Canis lupus familiaris: one gene and its partner. The protein of the gene in region 1 purifies or fractionates together with the protein of each later gene. This does not show direct contact. Links are inferred from orthologs where the notes say so. Each region holds a gene or a part of one and is shown on either strand. Other genes may lie near its edges.

Region 1 (3,816 bases):
TACCAGTAATAAGGAAATCAGTTATGTATACATTAATGACAAAACCCACAGTCTAAGATAGAAACTAGAGGGGAAAACAGGAGTTTTCGTGGAGAGATGTGAATATTGAATTCATAATGATGGTGCTGAAGAACAAGAGAGTGACACTATGTCCCTGGACATATAATTAAATAACACAGAGCAAAATTAAACATTAAGTTATTAAATATTAACAACATGGAAAAATGCTTATGATAGAAGATCAAATAAAAAGGGATATAAAATTGTGTGTATATGTGGCATGATCCCATTTCACATAATGTATATAAACATCTTGATTTATATATATGCTTTAAAAACTTTGAGATGTAGTTGACATATACTATTATATTTATTTTAGATATGTGTATACGCATACTCTTGGTGTATATATATGTATATATACATATACATTTTTTAGACCTAGAAGGAGATATTAATGCCGGTTATTCCTTGGTAGTAAGATTACAGGATAATTATATTTCTTTTTTATAACTTTCCATATTTCCCAAACACACTACTTTGTTTTCCTTTTAAGTGGGCCAAATGAGAAGCACCAACAGCCTTTAATAACAATTCTTTCTGTTTCTCCATTCTTTCTTCTCCCTGTCACTTTCAAAATGGAATATTTACCTTCAAGAGCATGTCTTTTTCTCTTTCTTGTTACTGGCAGATCTTCTTTGTTGTCATCTTGCTTTCCATCTGAGGTGTCATTGTGCCCTTCCTCCTCATCATCTGAGTATTGATTCAGAGCATCTACCAACTCCAGGAATACTGCATCACTAATCAGGACAGATCCAGGGATCATCTCTGGAACATAAAGATTAGATGGATTAGCAATGATCATTTCATGCTCCATTAATCCTTCCAGGAATTCCAGTATTCACTCCTGAGGCCCAGAGAGATGACATATGTACATTTTTATATGAACAACCAGGAAATTACAATAATTTGATTTGTTTTTAGAACTGCACCAGTTCAGCTGGCTAGAGTGGGAAATCCAGTTATATAGACTTTATTTGTACTAGGATAGCTCATTCCTCAGTTACAAATCAACCTGTATTTATGGTCCAGAATCTCAAAAAAGTGTAAAAACAATACAGATGGAACAGAGAAAGAATTATAACATCAAAATGTACTTGGTTTTGCTGCTGATGGCTTGGTAATGACTTCTCTGACTCAAAACACAGCATTACCTTCCTAAAATCATACTGTATGGGGTTACACTACAGCTTAGGACAGTCTTTGAACACTAGGAGGCACTGTGGATAAAACTGTATTTTCAACAGTACCCAAAAGGGTCAAAAGAGCTGGTAAGGCCATTGGTTTGCAAAGCCATGGGGAGTCTCTCCCCATCTTCCCACTTCTTACACACTAGCAGCCTTTTCTAGAATTACAACTAATCCAAATGACCTGCTTGCAACAAAGTCAGAATATTATACACAATTTTTGGGAGATCCAGGGGGTATCCAGATCAGAGTAGAACAGAGAGATTATGCTCATTGCCATTCTAAGAGAAAGGGAAGTGAAGAACAAAAAGGCTTTGGATGGACTTAGGGAAAACTCCTAAGATCATACTTCTCTGTGCACTAAACTTTCTCTCCTGCTACTGATTACTATATATATAAAATCCTTTTATGTCCCAACTCCCTTTTCTTCTTAATATACATTACTTTAAAAAATTATATTTAAATTCAATTTAGTCAACATATAGTGTATTACTAGTTTCAAGAGTAGAATTTAGTGATTCATCAGTTGCATATAACACCCAGTGCTTCCAACTCCTTTTATTTTATTTTTTTTAAAGATTTTATTGATTTATTCATGAGAGACACAGAAAGAGAGAGAGAGGCAGAGACACAGGCAGAGGGAGAAGCAGGATCCATGCAGGGAGCCCAACTGGGACTTGATCCCAGGTCTCCAGGATCACACCCTGGGATGAAGGCAGGTGCTAAACCGCTGAGCCACCTGGATTGCCCTTCCAACTCCTTTTAAAATTTAACTGAGGGGGTACCTGGGTAGTGCAGTCAGTTAAGTATCCAACTCTTGGTTTTGGCTCAGGTCATGATCTCAGGGTTGTGGGATCAAGCCCTGCACTGAGCTCTCAGCTCAGCATGGAGTCTGCTTAAGACTCTCTCTCCCTCTCCTTCTGCCCCTCCCTCTATTCTCTCTCTCTAAAGTAAATAAATTTTGGGGATCCCTGGGTGGCTCAGAGGTTTAGCGCCTGCCTTCAGCCCAGGGCCTGATCCTGGAATCCCAGGATTGAGTCCCACATTGGGCTCCCTGCATGGAGTCTGCTTCTCCCTCTGCCTGTGTCTCTGCCTCTCTCTCTGTGTCCCTCATGAATAAATAAAATCTTTTTTAAAAAGTAATAAAGTAAATAAATCTTAAATAAATAAATAAAATTTGACCAAGGGCATTTTTAATATAAAGTTTTTACTCTTAGCCATGTGATGACATTGAAATATTCTTCAGCGAGTACACATGAGGCAGCAGGTAAGAGCAAGATGATTATTTACCAAAGAAAGGGCACCACTCTAATAAAGTTTTTCCCAAAGAACCCAGCACCACTACCTTCTTCGCCGTGGACTTTCCCATCATAGTTATTGATCAGCTCCTCAATGAAAGTCTCATCTTCTTCTTTCACCTCATCTCCCATGTAGGGAATATTGCACAAAACTGTCTCATCTTCTACCTAAAATCAAACCAGATGTAATTCATTCCATGAGTCCACTATGCAGCTCCTCTTTCCTTTTTAATGGAATCTTTTGTTATTAGGCCTTTTTTGCTGCTTGAATTTCCTGAAAACATTTTTGACAGAGTTTCCTGCATTTTTATAGACTGGCCATTCTGTTTTGCCACCAAAACCTCAAACTGGAAGGGGCAATGCTACTCTTAGGGAAAAATGTCAGCTTAACTACTTGAGGATATCAACTATTAAATGTTTAGCCTGATACTAACATTTGATATTTCCACCAACATCTAGACTCTGACAGCACACTTATTATTCACATCTATTATCTAATTTTATCTACTAAATGTCATTGTAAAATAGGTACAAATAGCACTTAAACAACAGCCTAAAAAATCTTCAATTCTAATTCTTTTAGTAAGTGGAGACATAAATGAAAAGGAAAGCTTTCCAGAGTGTAACCTGCAATATAACTAGAACAGTTAGAACAAAATCTAGGCAACTGTAAAGTTTCTGGATATTCTCTTATACAGACTAAGACTAACTTCCAATAATCATAATAAAAAACTATGATTATAACTCATGTCCATCACTCAACTTTAGTGGGGACCTAAAGTTAACTGCAGCATGAGCTATGAATATTTACTGGCTAAAGAAACAGTATTAACAGATTTTTGTTACTGTTGTTCAGTAGAAAACATGATCATTCTTAAGTCCTCAAGTATTAAGTAAAATTACAGTGAAGTTTTATTCTAAGATAAATTCTAAGTTTTATTCTAAGATCCCTTCTGTAAACCGATATCCTATTCCAGTCAGTGCAACTGCTGTCATCAGGCAGATGATAAGCAATGACAGTATTTAGAGATGACTGATCATCAGAATCACAACTAATTCTAGAAGGAGTCAGCATAAACGCCCAGATGAAAGGCTCAAGGATCTGTGTGCACCTCTGTTATCTCGGTTGCTTTCATGGCATCTTGCCTTTAGGGGATTCAGAAAGGATTGCTCCATCAGCAGGAAGATGTCAACCTGTTTAAGCCTCAAGTGTCTGACTTAGACTGCATTTAACTGCATATGTTAAAAATTGGGCCAAAGTAGTAAGGGAG
Region 2 (4,297 bases), on another chromosome or scaffold:
GTTTGATTATGAAGCTTTAACCTTATTTGGACTTGTGGCACTAATATCTTAGTCCTTACTCTGAAATATGATGTAAAAATTAGATATTCCAGTGATTATCTTATAAATATGAAATGAAGCCAAAACTCCACTTCCTGAAATATTACTTGACCAATAATAGTTCATCTCCTAAATGGATGTAGCAAATAGTAACTTAAAAAAAAAAAAAAAAAATCCTGGCACATACAGCTTGTTATTTGAGTTGAGTATTCTAACTCTTGTGAAGTGGAAGTAGGAGGCTTGAGAACCTTTGTTCGGATCCAGCTCTTCCACTCCATACTTACTTTTTGAGTAAGACAATTTGCTTCACCTGTTAAATGGAAGTCAAAGTAATTCCTATCTTGCACCAGAATTGTGAGAATGAATAGAGACATTTAAATTGTGCAGTGCTAAACCTGTGTGTGCCCACACACGCTGGATAAATGGAAGAACTGTGCTAGATGTTAACTGTATAAACTGATGTCAACTTTCAAATATCTGCTGGTACCAATGGACGAGGATATACTAAAATGATAAATAACATATGCTTCATTGTGTGGGTCACATCAATTTTTAATCATCTTAAAGATTCTCCTTCCTGCCATACCTACATAGTTCAGCACAGTCTCTCTAGGGTTTGTACAGTCTACTTTACTCCATCCATCCATCCAAGGTATTTTCTTCTCTAAAGTAAATGTCGAACTGAATCTAGTGCTATATTTTCACGTTTTTTAGAGTTTTGTATTCCTTGTAACATTAACGATAAACCAAAGTGTTCGTTTTATTAGTTACCAATCCGAATTCCTAAAACCTCAGAATACTTAAACTTTTAAAGACCAATCAATACCGATGGTTAAAAATCCTACTGTTCATCAAAACATCAAAACATTAATAGATGGTCAAAATAAAGGCCAGGAGCAGTATAATAGGCATGACATGGTTGTCTCTGTGTTTAAAAAAAAAAAAAGTACATTAAAAACCAATTAGTTAAAATAGGAAGTTTTCCAAAGTGATGAGAAGTAATAACTGAAACACACTAATGCAATAAACTGTAATGTCTCCAAAACATGAAGCGTATTTTCGACTGTATTCATGTTATTTTTTTTTTTTTTTTTAATTTTTATTTACTTATGATAGGCACACAGTGAGAGAGAGAGGCAGAGACACAGGCAGAGGGAGAAGCAGGCTCCATGCACCGGGAGCCCGACGTGGGATTCGATCCTGAATCTTCAGGATCGCGCCCTGGGCCAAAGGCAGGGGCCAAACCGCTGCGCCACCAGGGGATCCCTATTCATATTATTTCTAACAAGCTTTAGAAAAAGGCTACTTATTTCTTCAGAGATCTCTCCGATCCACGACTTTAATATCACCGTCTAAAAAATCATGACATTCCTGTTAAAGATTCTAAACCACATACCAATATGGTGTGCCTTCCGGGCTGTACCTCATTACGATTCCCAATTCTTTGATCCCCTCACATCATCTTAAAGGACATCAATCCATTATTCTCGTCTACAATTCCTACAAGTGTTTCTAAACTTTCTCCCCACGTTTAGTCACAAAGCAAAATACAAGTTAGCAAAATCACTTTGGAGAGCGTATATAATGACTACACGTGAGAAATTGTAGAAGCACTGACCAAATTACAAAAGGCCAGTCGTTTTCCTTCTAAGTGGCGAAAAGTGATAGTGGGGGGTGGGGGGGGGGGGGGGTCTCCTCCCTGAACAAGGAAGTTCTGTTAAATCCAGGCGAGACCAGCCATGTTGGAAAACACTTGTCAATTACAGTTCTGACAAGTGTTCGCGAACACCGGTGGGGCCGAGCGAACCCTGTGTACCGGGGTGTGAGCATCGAGGCCCTCGGGAGCTCCGCCAGGGGATCGGGGCCTACTTTGAGGGCTGTTTCGGAGTTGGCGCTGTCCGTAGGTCCGTCCGGAGCGCAGAGCCGAGGGGGGAAAGAGGGCGGGGAAAGGAGAGTTGGGGGGGGCCGGTCGGAGAGTTGCGGGCGGCCATCCGCGGCGAGAGGGGCGCGGCGGGCAGGAGAGATTTCCGAGTTGGGAGCCGGGGGGAGGGGCCGCGGATCTGGGGCGCAGGGGGACCTCAGTTTAAGAAAAAAAAAAAAAAAAAAGAAAGTCCCCTCGTGCCCCCCTCGAGAGGCGCACGAGCGCAGAAAGGAGAAGGGAAGGGGACACCCTCCCGGGCACTGACCTGTCCTCCGAGTCCATGCGGCTCAGGGGTTCCCCGTCCGACGACATCTCCAAGCTGCCTCGCCGGCCCCCGGAGGTCGCGCTGCTTCCGCCGCCCCCGGTCCCGTAACCCTCGTCGCCGCCGCTGGAGACGACGCTGCTGCTGCTGCTGCCGCCCCCGCCGCCGCCCTGGCTGCCCCGGGGTCCCTTGGGCTCCTCCAGGCCCTCCTTGCCGTCCCCATCCCCGCTGCTGCTGCTGGCGGCGCCGGGGCTCAGCGAGCGCGTCTCGTCGCTGCTGCTCCCGCCGCTGCTGCTGCCCACCAGGCTCTCGGCGCTGCTCTCCTCCTCGCCCCCGCCGCTGCTGCTGCTCTCGTCCTCCTCCTCCTCGTCCTCCTCCTCGTCCTCGTCCTCGCCGGCCTGGCTGGCGCTCTCGGGGCTCGGCTCCGACATCGTCTCCGCCTCGCCGCCCCCCACTCCGCCGCCGCCGCCGCCGCCGCCGCCCCCGCCGCCGCCGTTCAGCAGCAGCGCCGCCACCGCCTCGGCCTCGGCCTCCTCCTCCTCCTCCTCCTCTTCCTCCTCCTCCTCGGGGGGCTCAGCCCGGCCCCGCGCCGCCGGGCCGGGGCTGCCGGGGGGCAGAGGGCTCAGGCGAGAGAGCTCCTCCAGGTCGGCCATGTCGGTGATAGCGGCGGCCATGGCGGCGCCTGCTCCTCCTCCTCCTCCTCCTCCCCGCCGCCGCCTCCCTCTCCTGACTCTAGCTCCCTCGCTCGCCCCCTCCCAAACGCCCAAAACTCCGCCGCCGCCGCCGCCGCCGCAGAGCAGGAGGAGGGCCCGCGAGCTGCGTCAGCCTGCACACGCGCTACGGAGCCCGCGCGGGGACAGGCGCGCCGCTGCGCGCACTCACGCGGACACGGCTGCGCGCCTGCGCGGAGGCCCGAGGTGGCGCCGCCCCCGGCCGCCCCGCCCCGCCCCCGCCCCGCCCCGCCCCGCCCCCCCGCCGAGGGCTCAGACTTTCCTCGGGGTCTTCCCACGCCTGCTCCGGGCCTCGCGGCCGCCGGGACACGCAGAACGAAAGCTGGAGCGCTGGCCGGGGATTTTAACAGCCTTCCGAGTTCTCACGATAAAGTCATTCATTCCGGGGATGTTTGGGGAGCGTCCGCCCCCCCCACCCCCACCCCCACCCCCACCCCCGTGTGCAGGCGACGAGCCAGGAATCCAACAAGTCCCTGCTCTTGCGCGGCCCAGAGGGGAGGTGCTGGCGACGGTGGAAACGGGGAACACGGGGCGAGCTGCTGCGCCCGCGCGCGCAACGTGGAGCCACAGGTTTGGGGCCAACCGTGATTCCAACGCCCCCCAAGAAATGGTTCAGCCGGCCTCCCTGCAGACTTGGGTTCTGCTCAGGATCTTCAGACTTTGTAGCTAACGAGTCCCCCAAATTCTGTACATCCTTCTGCAGTTGAAAAAGACATCTACATTTTTTTTCCCCCAACTGGTTATGAATATTTTATCATTGTCACTTTTAAATATAGCCGGCCAACTCCAAATATTGCAGTTTTGAGGCCCACCAAATCCACTTTTTTAAATACGGTTTCTTTGATACTTGGGCAATTTCCATCTTTCCTTTATCCTCCGTATTTACATTCCACATCCCTCCAGAATTTTATCCTAATAATAGACTTTTATGTCTGTTTTATTGATCATCTTCTAGTCCCTTGTAATAAAATGAAATAAATTGAAATTAAGGATCGTGTTTGAATCTCTTGTGATCGTAGAATTTAAAGCTTTATTATTTCGAATGATCAAAGCACGTTTTTTTAAATATTTATGTAAGAGGGGCGCTTGGGTGGCTGGCTATGTCCGTTAAGCCTTGACTTTTGGTTTCAGCTCAAGTCAGGATTTCAGGCCTCAGATTGAGGCCTAGGTAGGGCTCCTCACTCAGCTAGGAATCTCTCTTTTTTTCTCCCTCCCTTCTGCCCCTCAGCGCTCCTGCCTGGACTCTCTCTCTCTCTAAAATAATAAATAAATCGTTAAATACTTACATAAGTATTAAACACAGAAGTAAAATGTTGTTGGAAATGCATCTTACAGAGATAGAAC

The links.
Region 2: the proteins of EZH1 (region 1) and AEBP2 purify together in Homo sapiens (affinity purification with mass spectrometry; 3 studies listed by BioGRID and IntAct, with this or other methods). This does not show direct contact. The link is inferred for Canis lupus familiaris from reciprocal best matches to the Homo sapiens genes EZH1 and AEBP2.

Annotation. Positions count from the first base shown.
Region 1 is NC_049230.1:20,146,803-20,150,618, reverse strand, and holds part of EZH1 (histone-lysine N-methyltransferase EZH1), read right to left. Parts: intron 2,714-3,816; coding exon 2,593-2,713; intron 829-2,592; coding exon 652-828; intron 1-651.
Region 2 is NC_049248.1:18,429,873-18,434,169, reverse strand, and holds the start of AEBP2 (zinc finger protein AEBP2), read right to left. Parts: upstream 2,988-4,297; 5' UTR 2,897-2,987; coding exon 2,226-2,896; intron 1-2,225. UniProt on the Homo sapiens protein: Acts as an accessory subunit for the core Polycomb repressive complex 2 (PRC2), which mediates histone H3K27 (H3K27me3) trimethylation on chromatin leading to transcriptional repression of the affected target gene.